Linked DNA regions of Alligator mississippiensis. The main gene of each other region encodes a partner of the protein of the gene in region 2 in a complex. Links are inferred from orthologs where the notes say so. Each region holds a gene or a part of one and is shown on either strand. Other genes may lie near its edges.

Region 1 (7,995 bases), on a different chromosome or scaffold from region 2:
TACCAAGCACTTTTGAAGCAGAAAGTTCTCTCACACTGATTCAGTAGTGACTTTTGAAAATGTTGCCCTGGTAACAGAGCAAGGCAGCACAACAACAGAGAAGCCAGAAGAACTGATTCCTAGATTTATACCATAACTACAAAACACTGCCTTGTTGAAGTTCCATAATTAAGCCTACCTTCTCTCTTTTCTCCTTTCGTCCATCCTCTTATCCAATGCTGCATAAATAGCATCCGCTTCCTCATCATCTTTCTCATAAGGACCACTTGAGAACAGGCTCCCAGCATAGCCATTAAACTGAAAATTTTAAAGGGCCAAAACATTTTAGTTTCAAAGTTCAGTTACACATCTAGCAAAGCCAATACAGTCATTCAAGAGAAAGAAAACCCCTCAGAGACAATTTTAACAGTAAAAAGGCAGCAAAAGGGCACAGCACATCAGCCCCCTTGGCTCTGCAGGGACTTGTAGACCTCCTGCATCTAAAAAGAAAGACCTATAAAGGATGGAAGACTAGATCCACCTCAAAGGAGTATTCTGCACTGGTCTGGACCTGTAGGGTGCAAACCAGGAAAGCCAAGGCTGCGACTGAACTCCAACTGGCTACATGTATCAAAGACAATAAAAAGTCCATTTTTAGATATGTGGGGACCTGGAGGAAAAGCAAGGGTAACACTGGACCCCTGCTAAACCATATGGGACAACTGACAACCAATGCCCAGGAAAAAGCCAACCTGCTTAATAGGTATTTTGCGTCAGTTTTTCACCAGTCCCAAGGGTGGTAGTCAATAAAAGTCAATCACTGTGGTGCACCGTGACCAGTGGAGTCCCCCAAGGCTCAGTCCTTGGGCCTATACTGTTTAACATCTTTACTAATGATGTGGACATTAGTATCAGAAGCGGACTGGCCAAGTTTGCCGATAATGCTAAACTTTGGGGTAAAGCGTCTATACCCGAGGACAGGAGGGCGATCCAGGCTGACCTGGGCAGGCTCAGAAAATGAGTGGATGAAAACCTGATGGCATTCAACACTGAAAAATGCAAGGTACTCCACCTCGGGCAAAAAAACCCGCATCGCGCTTATAGGCTCGGCAGTGTTACACCTGCTAGCACCGCAGCTGAAAGGGACTTGGGGGTCAGGATTGACCGACCACAAGATGAATATGAGCCACCAGTGCGATGTCACAGCTGGTAAAGTGAGCAAAACTCTGGCTTGCATCCATAGATGCTTCTCAAGCAAATCCTGGGATGTCATCCTCCTGTTGTACTTGGCCTTGGTGAGGCCGCAGCTGGAGTACTGCATCCAATTCCAGGCTCCACAATTTAAAAAGGATGTGGAGAGGTCTGAAAGAGTCCAGAGGAGAGCCATGCGCATGATCGGAGGGCAGGAAAACAGGCCTTATGATGACAGGCTGAGAGCCCTGGGGCTCTTCAGCCTGGAAAAGCGCAGGCTCAAGGGGGACCTGGTGGCTGCCTATAAGTTTATAAGGGGTGTAACACCAGGATCTGGGGGAACGTCTGTTCACCAGAGCGCCCCAAGGGATGACAAGGTCAAACGGTCACAAACTCCTCCAAAACCATTTCAGGCTGAACACAAGGAAGGAACTTCTTTACTGTCCGAGTCCCCAAGGCCTGAAACAGACTGCCGCCAGCAGTCGTGCAAGCGCCTACTCCGGACTCCTTTAAGAGACATTTGGATGTCTATCTTGCTGGGATCCTTTGACCCCAGCTGACCTCCTGCCTCTGGGCCAGGGGGCTGGACTCGACCATCTTTCGAGGTCCCTTCCAGCCCCAACGTCTATGAAATGCAACTAAAATAGCCTTAAAGCAGCCTATCATAGTAGTGAATTTCATCAGCAAAAACCTCTCGGTAAGTGATAATTGCATAAACGTTTCATTAGCAGAAATGTTTAACTATTGAAAACAAATGCAAAACAAACAACGCTGTATCTCAGTACGAGTCAATTTTACTGAGTTAAACGCAAGTTTTTATTGGGACCGGATCATCTCAACGATGGGGTAAAAAGCAGCTGTTTCGACTTCGTTTCTGGAGAAGCATCAGAGGAACGGTCCACAAAGCACTCACCTTGATATTGTATTTCAACATCCCTCCCCAAACCCCCTGGGCTCAGTACAAACAGCCCGACCGCAACGTGCAAATATCACCACGGAAAAACACGCCCATACGCGCTGCGGCATGACACACGCACGCAACTCGTGGCAAGGGGTGCTGCGAACTGGCTCTGCCGTTGTTCCCTCACATAGCACGGCACAGGGCGTCGGGATGATTTTGTGTGGTGTTTTTGGGATGAGGGGGGAGGCAGGGAGAGAGGTATTACATTTCCCCCCCCCGTCAGACAGGAGAAGCATCACCTCATCATAATTGGTGTCGTTCAGATCTTCGTCATCGTCGTCTGCCGTCTGGTTTTTCTTCATCTGGTCCCCGACGGTCCTCTTCCCCGGCGGCGCATGGCGATCGTCCACCGGGTCGTTGGCATCACGCGCCGGGCCGATATCCGAACGGGTGGTGAAGCCCGTAGCGCTAAACGGAGAGACCAGCAGCTAGGATTTAGTCTGCAGCGATAATACGAAGGCGAGGAACAAAACAATCCAGCCGTTCACAAGTGCAGCACCCCACTGCTGAAACACACTGTGCAGGAGCAGCTCCCCCCCTTCAAGGGACACCATGGTGGAGCAAGGAAGCCGAGCTTTTACTGCCCGGCTTCCCTCACAAGGTTTGGTGCCTCTAAACGCGCGGGACCAGGCCCGACGGGCGCTGAGAGGCGCCGCAGCCCCCCCTCGCCTCGCCCAGGCCCGGGGAGGGGTGGGGGGAGGGCTCACCCGCGGCCCAGGCCCGGCACGTAGCCCAGCGGCGCGGGCATGCCCAGGAACGGCTTCTTTTTCTTGTTCATGGTGCCCGTGATGGCGGCGGCTAAGCCCGAGGGAGCGGCCGAGCTGGAGCCGCCCGCGCCTGAGGAGGAAGAGGAAGAGGAAGCGGCCGCGGCGGCCATTTTGGGAAGCGGAGGCGGTGCTACCCAGGCAGGCACCGCGGCCGGAAGTCCCGCCTACGGGCTTCCGGGCCGAGGGGCGCAAGCAGAGGGGAGGGGGGATGGAATGTTGGAGGGGGTTGGCTGTGAGTGGAGTGTGCGCATGCGCGCCTGGCTCAGGCTGCTTGCAGGTGCCTGCTGCTTGCTGCTGCAAACAAGCATCCCCCCCCCCACTGCAGGCATGCCCCTTGCAACGCACTGCATGTAACATGCATGTGCATTACACACCACATGGCAGAGGTCAGGCTCCGCAACATTGCCAACTTTTGTGATTAAAGTTGTCGTAAAAGTTCACGCGTCACCGCAGCTCTTTCTTTTATATAAGTATTAGCAATATAAATGGATATGAAGGAGCTACGCTGTTGCATGTTCCTGACGCGTAAACTTTTACAAGCCACGCCAAAAATCATGAGATTTGATAATGCTGCGTGCACGGCATCCCTCCAGCCCTCGGTGCGTACGGGTGCTGCTCGGGGTGCTCTGCTTTGTGTCGCCTTCTGGCTCCCTTGATAGCAACCTGTGACCTCCCGCTTGGCCCTGTTGGTTATTTGTCCCAAGGAATCGGTTGTGACCTCCCTTATTAAGACTTATAATTTCATTGGCCCACGATTCCCTTTGGCCCGTCGAATAGGCCCCCAGCCTGGGTTGCACCATTCATCCCCAAGGCCTGCAATGCACGGCGATGGAGCCATGCTGCGGGGAAGGTCTACCTAGGACCAAGGACAGAGGCCGTGCTTGTATTAATATAGGGAAATCCCTCCCAGGCTTGCTACCAATGTTTCAGGTCTCAGGGGTAGAAGCAGCATTGGCAGCCCATGCACAGACAAAGCCCAGGAGTCTTTTAGCATCATGAGCGCTGCGGCACACAGATCTGTGCTACTTGTTGGGAGATGCGGCTTCATTTGCCGACTGGCTTTGAGGGGGTCTCTCTCATGGGGATGAAGGGCCTTATTAACACAGAGTTTGCAAAGTCCAGGAGGACCTCATAAGAAGGGGAGTTCAGCTACACAGAGGGTTTGACCCTCCTTCAAGGAAACCCCTTTGAAACCCAGCTGAGGAGTCTCACTCCATCAGAGCTCGGGAGGCACGCACGTTGTTCAGAGGTCGGTGGGGAAAGCTTCATCGTCATCACGGGCGGACGAGGTTCTTTGAGTAGATGTGACATTTTTTGTATTAGGCCAACTAAATAGTTGGGGAAATTGTTCTTTGCAAGCTTTTGGGCACAACCGCCCTTCGTCCTTAGACGAACACGATTACAACCAACTTGTAATCACAGGGCATTTGCTTCTGCATCACGGTGCAGCAGGGTAACCCCTGTGCTCACATCACCCATGCACTTTACGTGTTCAATGCATGCCACTAAATCCACCCTGGTTTGCTTGATGCTTAGCCCAGCTTCTTTAAAAAATGGTGCGTTCCTAAAGCAATCCTCGCCTGAGTGACAGCAGCAGAGCCAAACTGGACATCAGCTCTGCTGGAAATATCACTGGAGTTCCAGCTGCTGGTGGATGGGTCTCCACAAGACACCACGTAGGTCTAAAGTGACCACTGCCCGCTATCAGAGATTTTTCAGTACCTCCTGAGAAGCAGAGAGGCTTTCCCCCATGAAATCTGCTTGGTTCCGGTTTTGTATATACCACCAGGTGGAGTACTTAGCACATTAACTTGCCCCTCATTAAATAATCACCTCTCAGGTGCATAATTGAAGACAGGGAAAAAAAGAGACTCAGATCGGTTCTTTTTTGAATGTCCATGCGTGGAATTCAGACCGAGTCTGCCTTAATGCTTGAGAGCCAATGCAGCCTCAGCAGGCTTTACAACTTCCCAGAACTCATTCAAAACTCACAGGGGGAAAAAAAAAGTCTTCAGAACTTGAGTAAAATTCGATACACTCCTCACCCTAATGATCACAGCCTAGTTTTGTACCTCAAGTGCACTACTTTCTCATCAGGCCTTTACAAGAAAATCAATTTCATATCTTAGCTCTCTCTATGAAGTTAAATTTAATCTACGTGGCTGTATTTTGCTGTATTGCTTATTTAAGGGATAATATCCATGGCGGTGGAGTATGCAAAGCAATAAGCTGAGCTTGTACTTGATTAAATGCTGAAGCGGAGCGACGGCATTTAATCAACAGCAAACACCATTTATTGCAAGCATGCTTCAGTGCCATGAAAATTACTGCTATTGTACTGCCAGAGAGCAATTTTAGGCATCTATTCTTGTTTGAAGAGGGTTTGGAACTGGTATGCTGCTATCTGTGTAGGATTTTCTGGTGATGGTTATATCTGGGGTAGGAGAAATGGGGGGAACTAAACATCGCAGCTGACTTTGAGGATGCTAGAATAAGCGTGACCTGACCTCCCCCCATTCCAAGCAAGCCCCAAATTGTAGAACAGTCAATTTTGCATTGCGCTGGAGGGTTTGTTGTTGTCTCCGTGCATTGAATGTAAAGGAAGGGGGAGAGGAACTGGAAGGGATAATGTGCAAAAAGGGGTGATTGGAAGGGATGGGGATAAAGGCCGTGAACCCCTACAAACCAAGCCTTGCCATAGTCCGTCCCCGCTTCCACCCCCTCCAGCCCCGACATTGGCTCTGCTACCCCCCTGATGGAAAGCAGGACAGTGAATAATTGATGAAGGGGGTCCTGATCAAGGGTTGAAGCTGAATCGCTGATCAAGGGTTGAAGGACTGTGTGGAGAAGAGTGACGCCGCTGGAGATGCTGCCTGAATGCCGATCGGGTTGAGAGTGTCACGCCTAATGAGACAGCGCTCTCTTTTCAGGACCCCGGCAGGCTCGGTCTTCCTCGGGTCCAGGCTGTAATCACTGTCATCGCTGTCACTGTTAGCAGTTATTATTTGCACTGTGCTCAGGGCTTTGTTAACCCCTGCTGCTGTGGGGCAGCAAAGCAATAAAGCGTGCACAGATACAGTCTCCTAGAAGACATCCAAAGTGGCTCTTTTGGGCAATACAGTTGGCTATGGCCTACTACATCTTCTCTGGTGCTTGGGACTCCGCGCCTAATGCCTGCTTGAATACACTGGATCTTTTCATTTCTCTACTAAATCTAGAGCAGATGCCTGTGGGCAAGGGAAGGTGGGCTTTGATTGATTGATCTGTCCCCACTGGCAGATCAACAGTTTTTCTTCTGGCTCCAACTCATCCCCTGCTGCCTGGACTTCACATGACACAGGCCTCTTAATATGCGTCCCTCCCACACCCAGTTATTTTGCTTTTGCAGCATGCATATGTGATCCTGTAAAATTAAATGCATGCAAGCTATCCCACCGGGCTAGCATAGCAGGACTGGATGTGTAGTAGCCAGAAAGCACCTACCAACAAGGACTTCTTCAACATCAGTGTACCCTGGCCCTGCTGAGAGCTCGGGAGCACGTGGTAATTCTGGTCACAGTGTTTCGGGAATGCCCCTAATGTCACACCCCATCAAGAATGGCCTATGGCCGACCCACGTTGGTTCATGTTGCCCAGTTGGGGTTGCTTCCCAGATGCTCCCTGATGACACAAGGCATTAAATAGAGACTGCTGCACAATCAGTCCATAGTAGAGCAAGATGCCCAGTGGAAACTGCCTCTGGACCACATAGTCCTACACAGGGGCTCAGCACATGCACTTTCACCCCCTCAGCCATCCAGCAAAGACTTTGGGTGGACCCTTTTCTATGCACTAACTGCACACGAGGCCATCCAGCTCTAAACTACAGCTCTTTCCTGCCGTTTCATGGCCAAGCAATTGCCTCCTTTGGCGTATCCCAAACTTTTAGCTTCCAAAGGGCTGTATCAAACATATAAAAGGGAGTGAGACCCCTGAGAAATGCAATAACAGCCTCCTACAGTGCAGCGTGCTTGGTCCCATGAGAATAACAACCACTGAAATGAAGTACTCGGGACCAGGCCGGGGCTGGAAACGGTCCAAATCACCATAGCTCCCCGAAGAACATTCAGCCAGGGCAGTTTTCACCAGCTGAGGGCCTGGCCCATCAGTAATGGCAATTTTCCTCCTAATTTGTGTCTAATAAACAGGAAAATCCTGATAGATTCATGCTGTGCTGAACAAAAGGCGTGTGCATGCATGTCAATGGCTTAGATCTTTTCGCTGATTAATTAGCAACTGGATTCTATTCCTTTCGCATTTGCAATTAAAAGTCGGAACAGATGGCGAAGGCTTCATTTAAGGATATACGCCCCTTGCAATAATCCGAGTCTCCCTAGGCTACAGCTTCTGCCACAATGAATCAGGACCACAGGGAAAATTATCTTGGACCAGAAGGTTTCTTGGAGGCAAAGCGGGGTGGCCAGGAGAAGAGGTCATGTGCTATGGAGTCCAATGGCTCTAAGAGGCCAGTTTTGGTGAAACCAGGGGATGAATCATAGACTCATAGAAAATGAGGGTGGGGAGGGAGCTCAGGAGGTCACATCCAGTCCAACCCCCTGCTCCAAGCAGGACCAGCTCCAACTACATCATCCCAGCCAAGACTTTGTCTACCCGGGTCTTAAAACCATGAAGGATGGAGACTGCACCGCTGCTCTGGATAACCCATTTCAGTGCTTCACCACCCTCCTAGTGAGGGAGTTTTTCCTAATATCCAACCTCAACGTCCCTTGCTGCAGCCTGAGCCCATTGCTCTTTGTCCTGTCGTCTGCCCCCACTGAGAACAGCCCGGCTCCATCCTCTTTGCAGCCCCCCTGCAGAGTGGTGGAGGCTGCTATTCAATCCCCCTCGGTCTTCTCTTCTGCAGACTAAATCAGCCCACTTTCCTCAGCCTCTTCTCACAAGTCATGTGCCCCAGTCCCTGAACCATTTTAACCACTCCTGCCTTGTAACACCACATGGTAAAAATCCCTGTTGCAGTTTCCACCTTGTAAGCCAGGCATGGCAGTGACCCCTTAGACCTAAGCATATATGCTACTGACTGTTCGGACTTTAGGGCCT
Region 2 (6,866 bases):
CCAAATGTCCCAATTTATGACAAATTCTAGTTAGAAACACTCTGCAGAAGAGTAATATTGTCCCCTTTTAACATGATCCGACCTGCAAGACAGAGAGAGAAGGTGGTCAGGAGTGGCATGGCCTGAGAACAAGGATACCTGGAAAAGCATTTCACAGAGGAGACTAACAGCAGAAAATTTTGCAGAACAAAGTCCACAAAACAAGTACCTCGTCTTTCTACTGACTGGCAAAACAACAGGCTACGGTTCAGATTGCAAAGGTTTCTGTTACAGCAAACTGAGCTAATATACAGGTGTACTACTACTGCATGCTTCACAGGGCTCCATGCCTGTAAGTCTGTGGTACTCATCTCTCTGCAGTATACGATCTAAAGGTACAATTCACTGTATCGGTGCACATGAACACCATCTGCAGCTAGTACATCAATTTCCTCCTGTATAACGGAGTGTGCTGCAATAAAAGGCACCCCAGCTACCCCTGCACACCCCCGATTCATTGTTTACCTTTGGCACCTGGCAAGCAGTGAATATCAACTACAAGCAAACAGCGAGAGTCATGGTTCCGTGCCCTGACTCTGGAAACGCACACTTGAAAGAGTAAGACAGAGAGCTGGAGGGTCTCAGGACTGAGATAAATGTGGCAGAGATCAGATTGGGTTTCTCTGGCCATCCTAGTAACAAAGAGGAGGCAGAGAAGCACAAGATATTTACCTGCCTCTTTAAGGTTTTAGACTAGTTTCTGGACTTCTTGTGCATATCTAATGGGATACCTATCAGATCTCTGACCCCAGCACTGTTATTCTATAGCAAACAGCAAAAACAAGCATCTTCACAGCAGCCTTTGCTGGACTTCAGCCCAAGCTTCTAATATGTCTGCATTTAAATTGCTGCCCCACACAAGGCTTATCTGGACAGGTTTGGGGCCCATCATTTAAACCATGTAAACGTACCCAGCTGTTTCCTTGACTTTGTTTTGGAGTGAATCTCCTCAGCATCATCCAGCACTAGGTTCATGTATTCATCAAAACCCTAAAAACCAGCAACAAAATCAGTTAGTCGCCTAACTCCCCTGGTGTTAAATCCAACTCCCCTGCCCTTACTGAGGGCAGAACCAACTGCAATCGCCTTCTCTTACAGAAGCACAGACTTATTAAGTGGAAATGGCTGAGGCCGCTGCTTCAGACAGTGCTGAGCACTGCCTTTAGGACTAGTATCTGTCTCTGTTTACATTTGGGAGCTGCAAACAGAACTTGCAAGTTCAGAAAAGCAAGAGACTCAAGAACATCCTGGCACTTACAATGATGCATCCTTCTATTCGCATGTTCACCTGCTCATAAAGCCACACCTGGATCCTGGACCGCTGTAAAATGAGAAGCAAAAAGAGACAGTAGAGTGAGTGTCAGCACATGTATTCCAAGTGATTTTCTGTTACCCGTTGCTGTCCACTCAAAATCTACCTTTGCCCCTGGCCAAACTGGCTTTTAAATAGTATCCATCACTCCATAATAGCAGGCATGTCACACTGTGTTTTACAAAAGGGGCGGGGGAAGGTATCCCCAGCTACCAAACACTTCTAAGCACATAGAGAAATGAGTCTTAAGAAGCACCCATGTGCATCACTGCACCCTTGCCTTCAAGATGGTATCCTTAGGAAATAATAACACTGCTTAACGTAACAGCAAAGCGTTGATTTCAGAACCCAAGTTCATTGTGGGGCAGGAAGTCCACCACCTCTGGAACAGTTCTGCTTAGCTAAAGGCAAGTTTTTTCTCAAGTGATGAAAACTCATGTGTGGGCCCCCACGTGTTTCAGAATATCTGCAATAATCTTGCAGAAGCAAAATCAAATCCTGGGGGGTCATCGCAAGGAAGCTTTTGGTGATGAGGATACACGTTAGTGATGATCAGACGCTGCACAGGCAGATGTGTTGCCATCCCTTCTATCAACACAGCACAAAGAAGCCGACCTAGGCCAGGACCCATTTCCTTCTATCGGGGAGGGGGGGATCAGGGTCCAATCCCCTACAGCTGCAGGCCCACCTGAAGGGAAGCACTGGGGTGGGGGGGATGCCTTGCACTCCACACCCCACCTGCAAAGGCTCCTAACAGAGCAGCCACCTCCAGGGCTGCCGCAAGGACAGTTCACAGCACAGCAGAGATACAAGCTGAAGACCCCGAGTCCAGACACGTGCTGAAAAGGCCCTGGGACAAGCTGCTCCCAGGGACCCCAGTCCCAGCTGGCCCTTGAGCTTTCCACTTTCAGCCTAGTACAAGCAGGCTCTGCCCCTGCCCCATGGCCCCGGGCAGCCCATAGGCTCCTTCTCCAGTGCCTCTCTCCAGGGCCCCGCTCCAGACATGAAGCAGCAACACCGCCCACACTACTACCAGCAGCTCCAGGCCAACTTGCCCCTCCCGGCCCCCCGAAGCCGCGCGCGGGGCCAGAACCGTCACTTACGTTCTGCAGGTAGCGGAAAATCAGGTTCTATTGCAGGCAGTTAAGGAACAGCGCGGAGACAGCGTGGGCCGACCTGAGCTGGGGAAGGCATGGGTAGACACCACCCCCAGCCAGGCAACACCCCCCCCACAGGTTCCCCGCCCATTGCCAAGCAACACCCCCACAAAAACCAGGCAAGCACATCTCCCCAGGAACCCCGCCCTGTTGTCAGGCAACCACATACCCCGGGATTACACCCCGCTCCCGTTGCCAGGCAACCCCCCACATCTCCTCCATTGCCAGGCAACCCCCCCCAGAATTTCCCCCTCTATTGCCGGGCAGCCACATCCCCCAGAATTGCCCCCCCCGTTGCTAGGCAACCCCCCAGGAATCCTCCCCTCCGTTGCCAGGCCACAGCGCCCCCCCCGGAGTGTCGTCCCCCCGCTGCGGCCCCGCGCCCCTGGAGGATACGATGGGCTGCACCATCACCTTCTGCACCTTCTGGCCCTGCCCGCGGTACGCCATGGCTGCGCACGAATCAGCCCCGCTGCACGCGCCCCCTGCCGCCGGAAACCCCGCAGCATGCCGGGAAGCCGGAAGCGACGCGCTTTGGCGGGAAGAGCGGGGAGTTCCGGGCGGACGCTCTAGACCGCGGGAGGACTCCCGCTCTACTGCCCTGCCCTGCCCACCCTTCCATCATTGCAGCGCCTGGTGAATGCTGCCATAAATGCAGCCCAGCCCAGACTGTGCCAAGCAATGCTCGCACCGTGCCAACCGCACAGCTCACACTGGTCCGCACTGGGGGTTGCTTTCCTCTGCCGCAGGTGCACAGCCTCTGCTCTGGTGGATCCCTGCCGCCCTGGCAGCAGCGGGTCATGGGTGGCCGCGGCCCTGCTTTCCTGGGGCAGGGCCGGGGGTGCCTGGGGCTGTGTCGTGTGGCGCGGAGGTCAGACACGGGGTTTGTTTGGGCTGGTTTGGACGGGGCTAATCCTGCGTCTGGCAGGGCTGGGACTGGATGTGACCCTGCCGGTCCCAGCCAGCCCCACGGCTCTGCGATGCTACGATCCGCTACCCCGGACAAGGCCTGGTTCACCTGCCTGCCCTCAGGCCCAGGCACAGATTGAGGAAGAGAAAATTAAAAGCAGCCCATCTGGGACTGCACCCTTTGCTGGGTGATCCCAGGGTAAAGACCATCAGGATCCCCTGGACATACAGCATGTCCTGGCCGTTTCTCTGGTCTCCGATCCAGGGGCTGGGGCACCAGAAGGACGAGGAACAATCGATCGGTCCGGGGGGAATCGTATTTATTGCTCCCCGCTCTGTGGGCTCTGCACACCTACACCCGCTCGCACAAACACCCATGCACACGCCACCCCCGGCGGCACTGAGCAGAGATCGAGGCCGGGGCCACCACGCGCAGGGCTTGCACATCTGGTGGGGGGGCAGGGGGCCAGCAGGACTCACTTCACGAGTGAGGCGGTGTCTGCGCCCAGCCTGGATGCCGTGCTGGGCTCCCTTCATCAGCCCCTTGAAGTGTCCCTGCTTCTTCGCCTTCTCCCTGCGGGAAAAAGATGAGGCGCAGGTCAGGGCAATCTATGGAAGCCCCTTGTTATTCTCACCCAGCAAGGGGTGCTGGGGGGTGATGGGGCAGGAGTTGGCTGTGGGAGCAGTTCCCAGCATAGGGTTGGGGCTGGGGAGGGTCAAGGGAGCTCCCTGATGCTCTGGACCCTGCAATGAGGCAGAGCCAGGTCACAAGAACAGCTCAAGGATCCAGGGAAGCTAGGACCCAACCCAGCTTTTGCCATGGCCCCCGACTCCCCCTCCCACAGCCATGGGCAAGGCCACCCCCCCCCTGGCAAGCATCGGTGCCGTACCTCCTGTTGAGCGTGGCGCTGTGGAGGGCGAAGTAGGCGTAGGGGTCCAGCTGACTGGCCTTCACGTCGTCTCTGCCTTTCTGCAGGACACACAGGACAGTGGAGACAGATGTATGTGGCCTGGGGCAGCTGGCAGCCTGCCTGGCAGGGGACAGTGCCCCCTTCCCCTGAACCCCGGGACCAACACTGCTGCAGTGGTGTGGGCTCGAGGCAGGGGGTGGAGGGGCAGCGGGCCTGGGGGACACAGCCCCATGGCATCTCCCAGGTTTTTAAGCCTCCCCAGAGGTGCTGGGTGCAGGCTGCAGCCAAGCCTGGGGATGGGGACTGGGATGTGCCAGTGCTCCTGCTGGTACCAGCCCTGCAGGGTCCTGGCTACAGGGTCTTGCCCCTCTGCTCAGTCTCAGACCGATGCTGCACTGGGGGTAGGAAGAGATTTCCTGCAGTCAGATTGATCTGAGCTGGGGGTTTTGCCTTCCTCTGCAGCGGGGGCACAGCTTCTGCCTGGGGTCTCTGGAGCACCCAAGAACCCCCCTGGCAGCAGCAGGTCATTGGTGTCCGCAGCCCCCCTGCTTTCACGGGGTCAGGGGCAGGGGTGATGCCTGGGGTTGTGTCTGGGTGACTGTCGTGTGGCTCAGCAGTCGGACATGAGGTTTGTCTGGGCTGGTTTGGACAGGGCTGGTCTTGCCTCTGGTAAGGCTGAGACTGAATGTGACCCTGTGGGTCCTGGCCAGCCCCACGGCTCTGGGACTACAACAGCCCCACACATGTTGCAGCGCCAGGCTGGGCCCCTGAATGTCTGGGCTCTGGGCAACTGCCTCCTGCTGCACCCGGGGCTCCAGGGCAGGGCACAGAGGGCACCACAGCACAGGGGTTGCCTGAGTTGGCGCCCTACCTTGCTGCCCTGGAGGCAGGTGCCATAGGGGCCCCTTACCTTGGGCGTGTAGTCCTCCTTGTGTCCTGGCGGCAGATGGATACTGGAGCCTCCTACTGCAACACAAGACCCAGGGCAGGTTAGGTAGGGCCCAGACACCAGGGGGGTGGGTAGGGAGCATGTCACATCTCAGCAAAGGACAGGGTCCTGCCTGGACAGAGCGGGCTGGGCTCAGCCCTGAGTAGGGTGGCCTGGGGCCCGGGGGCCTCATTATCCCCCAAGCAATACTCAGGATGGGGCAGAGCATGCGAGCCATGTGCCAGGGGCTGCCCCGGTGACTGCGACAGCTGGCAGCCAAGAGCTCACACTGCCCCGGGCACAGAAAGGTATATGTTCTTTGTCACGTGCTTGAAATTGTAAACTGCTGCAATCAATAAATGTTCTCACAGAATGGACTGATCTTGTTCAAGCTTTTGTTAAATCATTGTTACTACCTGGAGTCTAGTGTTAAGTCTGGTAACAAAACGGTGAAGGGTTAACAGGGCCAGTGTCTCCCATGGGGCATGAGACCCCAAAGCTCCCCATTCTCTTCTGCCAGTGGGACCGGAGCCAGGCCCAGGCCCCCCAGCCTCTACCCTCCTCTGGGTCTTGGAGGCGCCTCGTGGCGCTGGTTGCAGGCGACCGCCTGGCACAGAACGCACTGCCTCCACCCGTGGGCCTCAGCCACACGGACGTTCAGCACGCAGCACATTGTAGCACACGGCCGGCAGCAGCACCTGCACCAGCTCGAAGCTCTGGGGAGATGGGGGTCAGCTAGGAAAGCCCACCCCCCGCCAGGGACACCATGCTTGCCACAGCTACGGGTCAGACGCAGCTTCCCCCACCCCCAGAGTGCCCCAAGGGCCCAAGCTGGATTCAGCCATGCTGCACCTCCCTGCCAATCCCCTACTCACCAATGGTTGCGAATGAACTTCAGCTTCGCACGGAAGTGATGCTTCATGATACCCGGCAGGCCCTGCAAAGCCTCCAGCTGCCAGGACAGGGATCGTCACCCTGCCATCCCAACACTCACTACCTCTCCAGGCCCCATACCCTGTCGCCCCCATCACCCCCACACCCCATTGCTCCCTGCCCACCACACAAGGTGCCCCACACCCTCTGCAGATGGAGCTGATCTCCCCCAGTATCACCATTCCCCCACCCTGGACCCTGCATTGGTGCTGCCCCCACCCCACAGCAGGGCAATTCAGCCCTCACCCCCTGCTTGGCAGTGGCTGAGTGGGGTACGTGCAAGCCTAGGATGTGCTGCAAGCCAGGGCAGTCCAGCTTCTGAGTTGGGAAGGGAGCCCTCCCCCTGCCTCCCACTGCAGGAGCCCAGCTCTGTCCCCACAGGCCAGACTTACCACGGCAGGGATATGTGGGGCCAACAACCTGTCATCCAAGAGCAGCAGCGCGGCCCGGAGGAAGCCGAGCACAGCCTTGACCACGCGGCGGGTGCGGAAACCCAGCAGCAGGCAGACGCTGCGCAGCAGGTGCTCCATCTCATCCGGGCCCAGGTGCTCTGTGGGGCAGGCAGTGCCGCTGAGGTCTGCGCCCACCCAGGGGACCCTACCCCCCTGTGCAGGCCAGGCCCACACCCAGCTGGGGCTGGTGAGCAGGATGGAGCCCTTCTTGCTGGCAGAGGGGGT
Region 3 (7,767 bases), on a different chromosome or scaffold from region 2:
CGATAAGTAGGTTGTTCATTTAGGTTCTTCTTTTTCCCTCCTGCCACTCTAGCCAACGAGAACTAGCCAAATTCCTAAACCACCACCACCATTTCTGAAAGAATAGCCTTAAAATTATGCTGCAATGAAAACACACACACACCATCTACCTTGCAGCATAAGAAAAGGGAGCAACATAATTAACACTTACCCAATAGCTACCAGATTCTCCTGGTGAGGGGAACACGTGAGGCAGAAGATGGTCCTAGGCTCAGGGAAGAACTGTTGGCTGTCATTTCTGTTATGCCAATAACAAACGATGATGCCTCTCTCATCACCAGACACAACCAGATCTTTCACAAGGGGTGACCAATGCAAGGCTGAGATTGTATTCTGAAAATGCAGATTAACCAGGGCATGACAAAGTCTTGTCTCTAGCCCCATATTAGGCAGAGATGAACCGTGAAACAATACTAAATGAGGCAGCTAAAGTGGTAGGAGTTTTATCCTCGGTTAAGATAACTAAAGGCATTAATGTTTACATACGGAGCAAGATCGGGAAAGTCACTGCTGTAGCTGTCAAAGATCTGCCAGGAAATTAAGATTGCAAAGGGATCCACACACAATTGCTTACCAGGATGTCCTCCACACTAAATGTTTTTTCCCAAACCAACCAACCAACAAACAGAAAACCTTCACTGATTTAACTGACATGGATTTTAAAATTAGTTTAATGAAACTGGTGTAGATCCCTACATGGATCTTCTTATTTGGTCCCAGCATGTATTTCTGCCCCCTGTTTAGCTAATAAAAGCTTTGGGAAAACGCTTGTTCTAGTGGTTTTCCTACAGCCACACGGACCTGGTTATTGGCTACTATACCTGATGGAGCGTATGCTCAGTTACAAGAGACAGAGTCTGAGTATCCCAGATTTTCACGGTTCCATCATCTGAGCTGCTCGCGCAGAGGTTGGTCTGATCAGGGAAATGACAAAAGGTAAATCCAGAAACCCTTTCTGTATGACCGATGAGCTCTCCTAGGTTTGAAATACAAAAAGAGGAAACATTCACAGACCGAATTCTTGGTGAGAAACTGCTGTCCTTTCCCCATCTCTGAACGAGTACTCTTTCTACAAACTACCCGATACAAAAGATTCAATATTATGCATTGCAACATCCACTAACAAACAACTGGGGTAAAAGTGGCTGGAAGCAGGAGAATCACACACTCATCCCTGCATGTCCCACACTCCACAGAAAACAAAAGTGTGGACAAAATGAATAGGAAACAGTTATTCACCAACTCCCGGAATACTAAAATAAGGGGACAGCCACTGAAATGAGCAGGAGACAGGCAAAAAACTAATAAGAGAAAATGCTTTCTTATGCAGTGGACAGTTAATTAGTGGAACTCCCTGCCACAGGACATTGTAGAGGCAGATAGTTCAGCCAGGGTGAAAAGGGACAGGACAATTTCATGCATGAGATCCATTAATAGCTATGAAACAGAAAAGTCAGGGATGCCACCGTTGACACCCTTGAACCTTCCTTTTTCATGTGCTTCTCACAAGGTACTTGCTGAATTAACAGAGGATGGTGCATGCGAGGGAGGGTATAACAGGGTAGACCACTCTGGATCAGCGGTTCTCAGACCCCTTGTTAGGCTCAAAGACTCTGTTAGAAAATGCCAGCTCTTGGCTTTCATTTGCTTTTCGACTCCTGAAAAACAACGGGGCGATTCTTTTGTTCCAAGGAACCGCAGAAGCGCAGAGCAGGGCAGGACGCTTTTAACACGACGGATTCCCATCTGCCATCTCCGCGGTTAATCTGTGAATCGCAGCGCACAGCATCCTAGAGCCGTGGGGCTGCAAGGGAGCTCTAGGGGTCACATCTAGTCCAACCCCTGCTCGAGGCAGGATCGGCTCTATCCAAACCGTTCCCCACCTATCTAACCTCTTAGTGAAACTACCATCGACCCGGACACAACATGGACATCACACCTGAACCTGCCACAGGGAAAGCAGCCAACGTCCTGCTCCTATAAAAGGCTGTTAACACATGGTTAAAAGATCTCAGGTAAAGGCCGACTACAGGGGAAAGCAAAATCCTGCATAGTTCATACCAATCTGACTGGGGGGGGGGGGGGGGATTCCTCCCTGCCCCCAACGCAGCACTGGTCTGACACCGAGTGGAGGGAAAGGATCCGCTAGCCAGGACCCTCCGGGTCGAGTCCCAGCAGGAGCACGGCCACAGATCCCCAGCCTGGGCTGCGGCCAACACCGAGGGCGTGTCTACACATGCATTAGTCCGTCTTTCCTAATGCGCATTAAACTTAGAACCTCGGAGCGTTTATACACGTGCCCCCCACCGTCGGGGGGGGGGGGGGGGGGAAACGCTTTAATTAGAGGGGCTCTAAATAAAGCTCCCGGAGCATCTTGTGCATCAGCATCCCCTTTGGTTCAAAATGGCAGCGGGGACGCTGTATCTAAAGACGGCTGAACGAGCTTTAGCTCAAACGCCCACGTGCTAAATAAAGCACACGCACACGAGGCTGCCCGAACACGCGGTAGCAAAAACACTGCTTTTTTTTTGAGCCAGGCTCGATGCTGCGCGGCCTGTTTTGCTCCTCAGCGGCGCGTCGGCACGTCCCCTCACGCGACGCTTTAACGGGCACGTGTGTAAGACTGACGGCTTTAAAATGGTATTTAAAGGTTTGGGTTTTTTTTACGGTTACGGGTATAAACGCGCCCCTGGGGCCTCTGATGGAGGCTTAACACGTGGCGGGGGGGAAGCAGCGCCTGTTGCGGGGCAGGATGCTCCCTCGTGCTGCCCCGGGGCCGGGATCGCGGGGTTGGTACCGTGGAAGGCGGGCTGGGCGCCGACCCGCAGCAGGTAGACGCTGTTCCGGGCCGCGAAGCCGAAGAGCCGCGCGCCGGCGCTCGCGTCGCTGCAGCGGCTGAGGTACCAGTTGGGCGAGGCGGGCAGGAGCCGCTCCGCCGCCATCGCGTGCCCGCGGCTCTGCCGTTGCCCGGCGCTGCTGTCAAGGGTCGCAAAACGACCTTTGACCTCCCCGCCGTTGGTTCGGCGCATGCGCGGGTGCCACTCTGCGCATGCGCTGGGTTCCGCGCATGCGCGGTCAAAGCGAGGCGGCCACAATGGCGGCGGCCATGGCGGGTGAGTGAGGGGAGGTTGGGGAAGACGCTGGGTGGTGGTTTTGAGGCTCATGTAGGGTTGTGTTTCGTTTTTCTATTCGTGCAGGCCTCGCTTGGGCGCGGCGGATGCTCCTCGGGGCCTGGCCGGAGAGGTGAGTCTATCCCCGCTCCCCATCTTGTGTGCCCTCAGTGTGGGAGAGGGGAGCGGCTGCATTTCGATGTTGAAGCCGAATGCAAACTATGACACGTGAGTTACGAGGCAAGAAACGTGTTTAAAAAAACCTGCGGTGGAAATAGTGGCTTGGAAAAGGCTGTTGTCAAAGCAGGTGTGAAATATCTTGAATTCAATTGCTCTCTTAAAACCTGGTTTGAGGGAGATGGGACCGGCTGATGGCTTCTAACGTGCGTTTTCCCATTGCTTCAACAAAGCGAGTGTCCTTGGCCTGAATCTGGCCTTCAAGCAGAGGCGTGAATGGGTTTTTTTTTTTTTTTCCTATTTCAGTTTTAGGAATTGATGTAGTTTTATGGTGACTGATGTTGTTCTCATTTACAACTCTTTGCATAGATACTGGGTATTTCTAACCAAAATGTGATGTGACAGTAATTTGAATTTCTAACAGTTTTCTAGTATCCAGAAGTCTACATACTATTTGACTTAAGAGTATCGATTAAAACCTCTTTAAAGTTGACTCAGAAAAGTAATATGCCATGCAAGAAAAGAGTTGGCTTAAATGGTTTGCTCCTGGCTTCACTTATTGATTTCATTCACAAAAATCAACAGGTTTGGCTGCCCACTTATCACCTCAGTATTTGGCCAGCAGAGGGCATCATATATATATATATATATATATATATATATATATATATAGAGAGAGAGAGAGAGAGAGAGAGAGAGAGAGAGGTATATCTATATCTATCTATCTATAGATATCTATATCTCAAATAAACAGCTTTTGTCTTCTCCGGTTGGGGAATGTTTGAAAGTTGTAGAAATCTGGGATTTTTCTCTATCTACGCAACACCTTAGTCTTTCATTTCTTCTTGTTAATTATCAGATCAAAATTGGCTTAACCATTTAAAAGTAGTTGGGGGAGTAGCTTTCATTGTAAAGGAAACATACTTCTGTCTGTGACCCATAACTTAAAAAAATTAGGCTTTGTTTTATATTTTGCCATTGGCAAAGGTAAAAATCAGTACTGTAATCTGAAGTTAACGGTCAAATAACCAACAAGTGGGTAAGTATCAACCAACTTCAGACTTTGATAGGCTGGGGGTTCGTTTTTGTGAGGACCATTGTTATGTAACGAAAAACCAATGGATAAAGAGCCAGAAAATCGAGAATGGTGTGTAATAGCTATTCTGGGCCTGCGCTGTTCAGTTTCTTTATTAGTGACTTGGACAATGGGGTGAAAAGCAGCCTATTTAAATTTGCTGATGATACCAAGATTTGGGGTGGGCATGCTAGTAGCGAAGGACATGGGACATGTCCCCTAGGGAATGACCTGCTGGGTGGCACGGAAGTGGAAAGGGATCGTGGAGTCCTAGTGGACTCCAAGATGAACATGAGTCGGCAGTGTGACGAAGCCATCAGAAAAGCCAATGGCACTTTATCGTGCATCAGCAGATGCATGACGAACAGATCCAAGGAGGTGATACTTCCCCTCTATCGGGCGCTGGTCAGACCGCAGTTGGAGTACTGCGTGCAATTCTGGGCGCCGCACTTCAAGAGGGATATGGATAACCTGGAGAGGGTCCAGAGAAGGGCCACTCGTATGGTTAAGGGCCTGCAGACCAAGCCCTGCGAGGAGAGACTGGGGCACCTGGACCTCTTCAGCCCCTGCAAGAGAAGGTTGAGAGGCGACCTTGTGGCTGCCTATAAGTTCATCACGGGGGCACAGAAGGGAATTGGTGAGGTTTTATTCACCAAGGCGCCCCTCGGGTTACAAGAAATAATGGCCACAAGCTAGCAGAGAGCAGGTTTAGGTTGGACATTAGGAAGAACTTCTTCACAGTTGGAGTGGCCAAGGTCTGGAACGGGCTCCCAAGGGAGATGGTGCTCTCCCCTACCCTGGGGGTCTTCAAGAGGAGATTGGATATGCATCTAGCTGGGGTCATCTAGACCCAGCACTCTTTCCTGCCTATGCAGGGGGTCGGACTCGATGATCTATTGAGGACCCTTCCGACCCTAACATCTATGAATCTATGACAGATTACAGCAGGACCTGGATAGGTTACAGGGGTGGGCTAACGAAAATAGGATGGGTTTCAATACAGACAAGTGCAGGGTGCTGCACTTGGCCAGTGGGAACCAGCAGCACACTTTTATAAGCTTGGAAACTCCGTTCTCGAGAGCACGGTGGCAGAAAGAGATCTTGGAGTCATTATTGACTCCAAGGTGAACATGGGCCGACAATGCGAGGTCTCGATCAGTAGGGCTAACCTCACCTTGTTGAGCATCCACAGATGCATCTTGAGCAGGTCCAAGGAGATGATCCTCCCCCTCTGTGACACTGGTCAGGCCGCAGTTGGAGTACTGCGTCCAGTTCTGGGCGCCGCACTTCAGGAGGGATGTGGACAGCATGGAGAGGTCCAGAGGAGGGCCACCTGCGTGATCCGGGGACAGCAGGGCAGACCCTACGAAGAGAGGATACAGGACCTGAACCTGTTCAGCCTTTGCAAGAGAAGGTTGAGGGGGGACCTGGTGGCTATCTATAAACTCACTAGGGGGCACCAGCAGGGTTTGGGAGAGACCTTGTTCCCCCTAGCGCCCCCCGGGGTTACAAGAAATAATGGCCACGAGTTGTTAGAGAGTAAGTTTAGACTAGACATCAAGAGGCGTTACTTCACAGTCAGTGTGACTAGGATCTGGAACCAACTTCCAAGGGAAGTGGTGATGGCTCTTACCCTGGGGGTCTTTAGGAGGAGACTTGACGTCTACCTGGCCGGGGTCATTTGAGCCCGGTTTTCTCTCCTGCCCAGGGCAGGGGTCGGACCTGATGATCTATAAGGTCACTTCTGACCCTACTTCTATGACTCTACTGCGAACCAGAACTCATAGGTACAGGCAGTCCTCAGACTTATGACACAATCGGTTCCTGAAAACCTCATCTTAAGTTGGAAGGTTGTAACTCAGAACTGATTTCCCCATAGGAAACAATGTTATAAATGGGGGATTGGTTTCTGAACCAAGGCCCGATGCCCTATTTTCACCAAAAATACTCCAGAAGTTTGTACTCGATCAATTATAGATGAGTAATATAGCTACATTAATACATTTATATTGTAAATAGTGATTGTATTGATTTGGAAGGACTTTGAGGTGATATTGCTGGACTTTTTGAAAGCCTCTTGGTTGGACTTTTTGAAGGGTTCTTGGCTGGAGTCTTCTTAGGAGTCCTGGATGCAGGTTTTTCTGGAGTCTTGTCTGCTTTCTTAAAGAAAGTGTCCAATGAAGTTTGGACAGATATTCTCCAGGGAGATGAGCGACACAGCGAACTTGTTTGCTGGCGTGGCGTCGCATCGGATTAAGTGTTGTAAAGTTGAAACTGATGTCATAAAGTTGAAATGGGTATCAATTTAGAAACGTTGCAAGTGCAAAATGTCACAACTTGAAGTGTTGTTAGTTGAGGACTGCCTGTACTTAGCTGTGGCATACCTATGGAGGATGTACGCATCTGAGTGTAACCTGTCACTCACTTAAATGAGCCCCATATTATTCATATGTATAAGAAACATTCTTGGTGTAAAGGGATTTCTTAGACCTCATTTTGCAAGTTAATAGGGAGGTACATGTTACTTTACCAAAACAAGCTTGAGTTTGTTATGAACTCTTCCATTTCATTTATTTAATAAAAATTGGTTTTAACCTGTATACAAAGAATGTGTAATTTGTTTTGCAGGTTCCTGGCATCTGTAAATATTTTCCCACTGTCAAATATGCATACAAGATCATCTCAAGAGGTCATTGGAAAATGGGAGAAGAAGAATAGAGTTGTTTATCCTCCACAGTTGCCAGGAGAGCCTCGAAGACCAGCAGTAAGAATTTGCCTGTACTATAATTTCTTAAATACATCAAATAAAGCACTGTCCTTTTCTGGTTAATTCTCCGGGACACTCGCTTACGATAGCTATATACAGTGATTAATGTAAGATTGAGATACTTGGTATGTTCATAACTGTATAACAAAAGAAATGTGCAGTATTAGATTTTAGAAATGGGAACGACCTATTCGATTTTCAAATTGCTGCCTGATATGATCATTTAATGTGCACGTGTTGTGCAAATACAAATCTACAATTTAAATGTTTTCAGTGTTTGCCAGGCTGAATAACAACTACTAAGCTTGGACTTGACTGAGGAAAAGAATCTGAGCATTTCTTTAATTGCTTCCTTTCTATTCAATCCTTCTAGTATCTAGTTAAGAGAATTTTTAAAAATCTGATTTAGTTCTGTCCAGTGCAGAATCAAATGCACAATGAAAAATGCTCCTCTTTTGTGCAGCGAATTCAGATCATAGACTATTCTCTCTCCTTCCTTTCAGTCACCTGAGCTGAAAGTGTAGTTAAACATTAGCAACAAATGTGGGTCAATTGATATTGTATGAGAAACTAGAGAAAATGGATGTCGAAAGGCGCTT
Region 4 (7,097 bases), on a different chromosome or scaffold from region 2:
TGGATTATACCCGATACCATGGTAAGAACTGGTAGGTGTACGGCTGGGGTGAAAGGGGAGGTTGGAGCCCCACTTGGAGGGCACCTTGCACTATAATCAAACTCGTGAAAACAACATCACCTCCCAAAAGAACATTCCATCAAGTCATGGCAGGCGAGAATTAGGTGGAGACTAGAGTCTGACTAGCTAGTCAAGGCATTCCTGACAACCACAGACAGGTGAATGTCATCAGGATGTCAAAGGCCACGTCCTTATGTGGTGATCCCTCAACAGGCTGCATATGTTTCAGAAACAATAGATACATTGGGAAATGCCCACACAGCAGAACATTTAAAAGAAGTGGCAGTGAAAGCTGTAATAAACTGTGAACAAAAATTCAACTGTCACATGCACAGTTGTCAGTGATAATGCTGCAAAGTTGGCAAAAATGAGAAGATACTTAGAAGAAGAAACGGAAGGATGCTCCTTAATAACATACGGCTACAGTGTCCATTTAATGCATCTTTTAGCCAAAGACTTAAGTACTTCTTCAGAAATAAAAGAAAATGTTGTTGAAGTCATAAAGTACTTCTGTACCAAGCATTTGGCTTCAGCTTCACTGAAGAGAGCAGGAGGATCCAAACTCACTCTCTCTCAAGATGTTCAATGGAATTCTGTGGTTCATTGTGTTGAACAATGTATTAAGAACTGATCTGTTTACATTGGATTAAGGAGGAATGTAGAGGATATGCTCAATATACTGAAGCCTACATCCATAGCCTTAAACAAACTTCAGAGAGGTTGTTGCTGCATTGCTGATGCTGTTGAAATTTGGAAGGCACTTCAAGAGACATTAAAAAAAGAAATACCTAACCAGAAAGTTAAACTGAAGGCAGTAAAGAAGCAAATGGATCAAGCACCAACTCCACCTCATGTTCTTGCCAACATTCTCAACCCCAGATATAAAGGTAGATGCCTAACTTTTGAAGATGCTGCTGCCTTGGCATGGGCATCTCAAAATCACTCCTCAGTTATGCCAGTCATAATAAATTTCAGGGCTGGGGGGGAACCATTTAAATAGTACATGGTTTACTGATGATGTTTTGAACAAAGTCACTCCCCTGAATTGGTGGAAATCATTAGCCAGGCACCTTGAGATAGAGTTCCTTCAGTTGCTAAGCCAACTTTTCACAGCAGTAGTTTCCTCCGCAGGCATAGAGAGGATATTTTCATTGTTTGGTATTATTCACTCAAAGAAGCTAAGAAGTCAACTGGGAGTTGAAAAAGCAGGAACACTTGTATTTCGGTTTCAGTCTATGAATAAAAATGGCAGTGGGAGTGGGGAAGATGAGACCTAGCTGTAGAAGTTTTAAGGACAGCATACATTTAGTGTTGTGATGACTTGTCTGTTAGAGTTAATAAAATGTGAAAATTAAGAGAGAGAGTTTAAGGACAGATGTTGTAAAATGCTGTACTGATTTGTAAATTGACATGTTTTAGTGATCAAATTTGTCCCATTGTTTAAGAAATATGTGAAGAAGTATCACTGGGAAACTTGATAGAGTTTTCTCTTGGTGATTTAAATTGCTTTGATTTAAATCAATCCACCCTGGCTCTTACCTTCCTGGAGGACCCCTTCTAATACCTGAAGGGCATTAATGGAAAAGCTTTGCTTGGAGTTACAGTTGCAGCGTAGGAGTTTAGCCTCAGAGAAGCTGTTCCCTCCCTATTTGACTTCAGCACAAGTAGCTTGAGAGCAAGAGACCTCTGCACTATCTAATGTGCAGCAGGTGCCACAGCTACTCAAACACACTTGCACCAGAAAGTGAGGGAGCTGCAACACAGTGCATTAGTTCAGTGAGCAGTGAATCTCTCCCGCACTCCAAATTTCCCTCCACAGTCACCCCTGTATCTGTCATCTGCTCCAAAGGTGGATTGTTTGCAGACTGCCCAGGGGAGCTGTGGACTCTCCATCACTGGAGGAGTTTCAGGAGAGGGAGGACAGTCACTGGTTGGGGATGATCTAGGTGTAGCGATGCCTGTGCTTAGGGGAGGTGCGGGCTCCCCATTGCTGGAGGAGTTGAAGGAGAATTCATATAGCCACAGGGCGAGGATGATCTTGGCATAGTGATGCCTGTGCTCTCCTACGAGGATTTCCTAGGCTGTGCTGGATGCCCCTCACTTTCTGCTACAGAAATCAGGGGGGCTTTAAGATTCCCTCAGAGAAGTTGGCTGCAGCCCAGGCTGGGGATGGTGACTGGGCTATGCCAACGCTGCTGGGACTCAAACCCAGGTCTTGACCCTTCACTCAGAGTCAGACTGATGGCGCTGCAGTGAGGTTAGGAAGGAATTCCCCCCCTCCCCTGTCAGACTGGTAAGGACTGGTTGGGGAGGGGCGCAGGGGCTGCCTTCCTCTGGAGCAGGTGGGGCACTGGGGGGAATATTAACAATGTTAAGGGTTACAGCAGCAGGACCTTGGCTGCTCTGGTTCCTGTTTCCTCTGTGGCAGGGTGAGGTGTTAGGTCTGGGTTGTTTCAGGGCCGGTGTTGGCCTTAGGTTGAGTTTAGAAGACGAATCTGTCTGGGGTGGTTTGAACAGGCGGTGCCTGCCGCAGGCGGGGCTGGACCACACCTTCTGGACGGACTGAGGTTCCCGTCAGCCCCGCTGCTCTGCGACTCGGGTGAGAGGAGGACGGCAGGGGCAGTTTTCCCCAAGCTGCATGATGTCGGCACCGTGCGACGGAGGCCTCAGAGCAACGGGTGGAAACACACAGCCCGCCCCGCCCCGTGCCCCAGCCCCTGGACGAGCCCCGATCCCGGCAGCACGAGGCCTGGCGCGACCGGCCCCGATCCTGGCAACGGCCTCCAGCACCCCACGGGACTCACCGCTTTGTACTCGTACTGCAGGCTCCGTGCGGTCACGTCCGCCATGGCAGCTCCTCAGGCGCCGCCGCCTCACAAGCCCGCGGCCTAGCAATACGCACCACCGCGCCACCAAGCACTTCCGGGGAAGGACTTCCGGTGTGTTTCCGCGTGTCCCGGAAGCACTCCCTCCCTCCTCTGCAGGGCTGAGACCTGGATGTAGCCTCGGGCGGTGGGCAGCGGAAGGACCCCGGTGTAGTTTGTTTGCTTTCAGCGTAGGCAAAGGGGACCCGGCTCTCAGGGGTGTTGTGTAGCGGCAGGCACTACGCAGGGCACCCCTCGGGGGGTGGAGCGAAGACCGCGGTCTTTCCTGCCTGTAAGGCGCTCTTAGGCGACCGCGCGCAGCCTAGCCTGTTGACAGCTACGACGGCGGCACTGCGCTCCAATCAGCGTCCGGCGGGGACAGGGCTCGGAGGACTATTGGCGGCGCAGTTTAGCCAGCAGCCAGTCACCTTCCAATCAGCGCCCAGCGGGAACGGGACCCGCAGAAGTGGTAGAGGTGCAGCCTATCACCGGCGAGTCGCTCAACTGACCTCCCGGCGGGGACAGCACAAGTAGACGCAATCCAATCAGAGCCCGGCAGGGGCGGGACCCGGAGGGTTGCTCCCAGCCGCTTTCCAATGGTCTCCCAGCGGGGGCGGGCCTGGGATTGGGGGCGCGGCCTGCCCGGCGCCGCAGGAGCAAGAGCGGGGCCGGCGCGCGGAGGGGCCGTACGCTGCGCATCGGAGGGATGTGGGCGCGCTACTGGGGCCCAGCCGTGGCCGCGCTGCAGCTGCTGCCCCGCCGCTTCCTGGCCGTTTGGGCCCCCCGCCGCCTGCGGCCCAGCCCGGGCCCGCCCGCCGCCTCGAGGGCCAGGGCCCGACGCGACCTAACGCCCGGGCTGTGGCGCCGCGGTCAGGGCCGCCCCGGACACGGCGCCCGCCGCCTGCTGGCCGCGCTGGCTGGCGTTTTCGTGTGGGAGGAGCGGCGGATCCAGGAGGAGGAGCTGCGGAGGTGGGTGCGGGTCCCCATGGCGCCAGCATCGACCCTGACGCCGCGCCCTTGTCCGCGGACTGAGCCACTGGGGCCCCCGTGCCGCCAGGATCGGGGCCAGTCCACGTGCTAGGATCGGGCCTGGTCCGTGCGCCGGGATTAGGCCCCCACATTGCTGGGATTGGGGCGCTAGCATCAGGGCCCAGGTGCTCAGTCCAGTGCACAATGCCATGCTCTCCCCTTCCTTTCTCTCCCAACCCTTTTTTGACAGCAGAGAAGGAACAAGTGGTTGCCACTGCCGCCCCCCCCCCCTCAAATATTGGGTCCTGCTGGCGTCCGTTGGCGGCATCCAGCCTGTGGGCCGGGAGCTGAGCACTCCTGCTTTAACCCTGTGTCCTGGCAGCGGCATTACTCTCCAGGTGGCGCTGAGGGAGTTGACTGATTTCCTGGCTCCTTATTATCGCCCTGATTCGTCCTGATCTCTCTGCTCCACCCACGTGACTGTTTCTCCCCCATGGCTCGCCAAAAGCATCTGGGAACGTCTCGTAGCTAGAAAGAAAGTGTACACCCAATGGAAGGGAGGGGCCGTCACCAGGGAGGACTATACCTCGGTTTCTCGGGGCTGCAGGGGGGCGGTCAGGAAGGCCAAAGCGGAGATGGAGCTGGGACTAGCGACCCGGATCAAGGACAACAAGAAGTCCTTTTTTAAATACATAGGGGGCAAAAAGAAGGTACTGGGTGACATGGGGCCTCTGCAAGACACGCTAGGAAATCTGGTCATCACACCAGACGACAAGGCTAACCTATTTAACGATTTCTTTGCCTCCATTTTCCTGAGTAGGGACCAAGTCAGCCCATCTGCCAGGACCCCCTCAGGCCTCGGGGGGAGGTGCACCCAGGCCTAGGGTCAGAGAGGATCTAGTCAGGGAACTTCTGGAGGGGCTGGATTTGTATAAATCAGCAGGTCCTGACGACCTCCACCCCAGAGCGCTGAGGGAATTAGCAGAGGTCATTGCAGGACCCCTGGCACGGCTTTACGAGCACTCGTGGTGCTCTGGTGTGATGCCAGAGGACTGGAAAAGGGCCAATGTGGTTCCCATTTTCAAAAAAAGGGGGAAGGAGGACCCAGGAAACTATAGGCCAGTTAGTCTTACCTCGATCCTGGGTAAGCTTTTTGAGAGAGTTATCCTGGTGCATGCCCACTAGGGGCCAGCAGGGGAGATTAGGTTTAGGGGCAACCAACACGGGTTCATTAGAGGCAGGTCCTGTCAGACCAACCTGGTGGCCTTATATGACCAGGTCACAAAATCCTTAGATGCAGGTGTTGCGGTGGATGTAGTCTTTCTGGAATTTAGGAAGGCCTTTGACACCGTCTCTCACCCCATTGTCATTAAAAAACCAAAGGACTGTGGTGTCGACACCTACACAGTCAAATGGGTCACTAACTGGCTGGAGGGTCACACCCAGAGAGTGGTGGTAGACGGGTCATTTTTGACCTGGAGGGATGTGGGCAGTGGGGTCCCCCAGGGCTTGGTCCTCAGACCCGTGCTGTTCAACATCTTCATCAGTGACTTGGACGAGCGGGTGAAAAGCACCCTGTTCAAATTTGCTGATGATGCTAAAGTGTGGGGGGATGTGGGCACGCTAGTAGGGAGGAATAGGCTGCAATTGGACCTAGACAGGTTACAGGGGTGGGCGGATGAGAACAGGATGGGTTTCAACACTTGACAAGTGCAGGGTGCTGCACCTGGGGAGGGAGAACCAGCAGCATACCTACAGGCTGGGGAACTCCCTTCTTGTCAGTGCAGAGGCAGAAAAAGATCTTGGAGTCGTTATTGATTCCAAAATGAACATGGGCCGACAGTGTGGAGACACGGTCAGGAAGGCCAACCACACCTTGCCATGCATCCACACATGCATCTCAAGCAGGTTCAAGGAGGTGATCCTCCCCCTCTATGTGGCACTGGTCAGGCCGCAGTTGGAGTACTGCATCCAGTTCTGGGCGCCGCACTTCAGAAGGGATGTGGACAATATGGAGAGGGTCCAGAGGAGGGCCACCCGTATGATCAGGGGGCAGCAGGGCAGGCCCTACGAGAAGAGGCTGAGGGACCTGAACCTGTTCAGCCTCCACAAGAGAAGGCTGAGGGGGGATCTAGTGGCCATTTACAAACTAGTCAGAGGGGACCAGCAGGTATTGGGGGAGTCTCTGGTCCCCCAAGCACTCCCAGGAGTGACTAGAAATACTGGTCACAAGCTGGCAGAGTGTAGATTCAGACTAGACATCAGGAGGCGCTACTTTACAGTCATGGAGGCTTGGACCTGGAACCAACTTCCAATCAAAGTGGTGCTGGCTCCTACCCTGGGGGTCTTTAAGAGAAGGTTAGACGAACACCTTGCTAGGATCGTTTGACCCCAGTACTTTTTCCTGCCCATGGCAGGGGGTTGGACTGGATGATCTGCTCAGGTCCTTTCTGACCCTACCAGCAATGAAACTATGAATGGTCTTGATGGTCCACCCTGGGCAGATGCAGAGTTTTGAAAAGGGGGTGCAAGTGGTGCGATGCCTTGTCAACACATAAAACACAACAGCTGTTTTCCACCTGATAACAAGAAAGCTAGAAGCTTTGCTAATGTACCCAGGGCTTGGCACAATGTGATTCAGTTTACAATCAAAGCAAAACCAAAGGTGACTTGAGTAAAATATGCATTCCTTTGTTGTTTCATATAAAAGCCACAGCAGACTTGGCCAAAACATAATCCAGAGATGTTGCCTCGTTATCCCTGGAGTCATTACAATTAAAAGTATGTCTTTTTCAGATTCATGAACCAAAATCTGGCCTTTTGGAGCTTGGCTGACGGTGACTCCAAGGCCCAAGTTCATATCTCTAGCTAGAGTTGGAACTCAGGATGTGAAAGGTTAAACATTTAAATGAGAAGTGTGTTTACCAGTAATGCATTACCAGCTAACCTAAGCAGTAAGGTTACATGGCAGGCAGGAGGGAGGAGGACTAGTACCCATAGCTAATCTACTCTCCTCCCCCCAGTTTGCCCATGGATGCAGTGGGCTGGGAAAACCCTCACCTGTTGCTGCTGTCTCCAGCTTCATGTGGGCTGTGTTGCCTGGCGGGGCTTGTGGCTGCCACCTCCCCTCCATGTCAAAGGCCTTGGGGAGCGGCTCCCAGCAGCAGCTGTGTCTGAATGGGTCGGTGTGCAGCCCCCAGCTCC

The links.
Region 1: SNRPE (region 2) and PRPF6 share a complex: the UniProt entries of both Homo sapiens proteins name them as parts of the U4/U6-U5 tri-snRNP complex. The link is inferred for Alligator mississippiensis from reciprocal best matches to the Homo sapiens genes SNRPE and PRPF6.
Region 3: SNRPE (region 2) and GEMIN5 share a complex: the UniProt entries of both Homo sapiens proteins name them as parts of the SMN-Sm complex. The link is inferred for Alligator mississippiensis from reciprocal best matches to the Homo sapiens genes SNRPE and GEMIN5.
Region 4: SNRPE (region 2) and SNRNP200 share a complex: the UniProt entries of both Homo sapiens proteins name them as parts of the U4/U6-U5 tri-snRNP complex. The link is inferred for Alligator mississippiensis from reciprocal best matches to the Homo sapiens genes SNRPE and SNRNP200.

The regions. Positions count from the first base shown.
Region 1 is NC_081832.1:2,897,673-2,905,667, reverse strand, and holds the start of PRPF6 (pre-mRNA-processing factor 6), read right to left. Parts: upstream 3,016-7,995; 5' UTR 3,009-3,015; coding exon 2,839-3,008; intron 2,540-2,838; coding exon 2,371-2,539; intron 298-2,370; coding exon 179-297; intron 1-178. UniProt on the Homo sapiens protein: Involved in pre-mRNA splicing as component of the U4/U6-U5 tri-snRNP complex, one of the building blocks of the spliceosome.
Region 2 is NC_081837.1:39,630,446-39,637,311, reverse strand, and holds the start of SNRPE (small nuclear ribonucleoprotein E), read right to left. Parts: upstream 3,014-6,866; 5' UTR 2,959-3,013; coding exon 2,905-2,958; intron 2,482-2,904; coding exon 2,455-2,481; intron 1,361-2,454; coding exon 1,298-1,360; intron 1,030-1,297; coding exon 951-1,029; intron 83-950; coding exon 27-82; 3' UTR 1-26. Other genes in the region: RRP12-like protein, read right to left, coding at 3,899-3,991, 4,308-4,387, 5,239-5,294, 6,132-6,208, 6,582-6,739. UniProt on the Homo sapiens protein: Plays a role in pre-mRNA splicing as a core component of the spliceosomal U1, U2, U4 and U5 small nuclear ribonucleoproteins (snRNPs), the building blocks of the spliceosome.
Region 3 is NC_081832.1:77,080,952-77,088,718, forward strand, and holds the start of GEMIN5 (gem-associated protein 5), read right to left. Parts: upstream 3,018-7,767; 5' UTR 2,982-3,017; coding exon 2,837-2,981; intron 1,016-2,836; coding exon 861-1,015; intron 373-860; coding exon 191-372; intron 1-190. Other genes in the region: MRPL22 (large ribosomal subunit protein uL22m), read left to right, coding at 3,107-3,152, 3,237-3,282, 7,030-7,165. UniProt on the Homo sapiens protein: The SMN complex catalyzes the assembly of small nuclear ribonucleoproteins (snRNPs), the building blocks of the spliceosome, and thereby plays an important role in the splicing of cellular pre-mRNAs.
Region 4 is NC_081830.1:10,327,381-10,334,477, reverse strand, and holds the start of SNRNP200 (U5 small nuclear ribonucleoprotein 200 kDa helicase), read right to left. Parts: upstream 3,001-7,097; 5' UTR 2,910-3,000; coding exon 2,865-2,909; intron 1-2,864. Other genes in the region: STARD7 (stAR-related lipid transfer protein 7, mitochondrial), read left to right, coding at 3,631-3,893. UniProt on the Homo sapiens protein: Catalyzes the ATP-dependent unwinding of U4/U6 RNA duplices, an essential step in the assembly of a catalytically active spliceosome. Plays a role in pre-mRNA splicing as a core component of precatalytic, catalytic and postcatalytic spliceosomal complexes.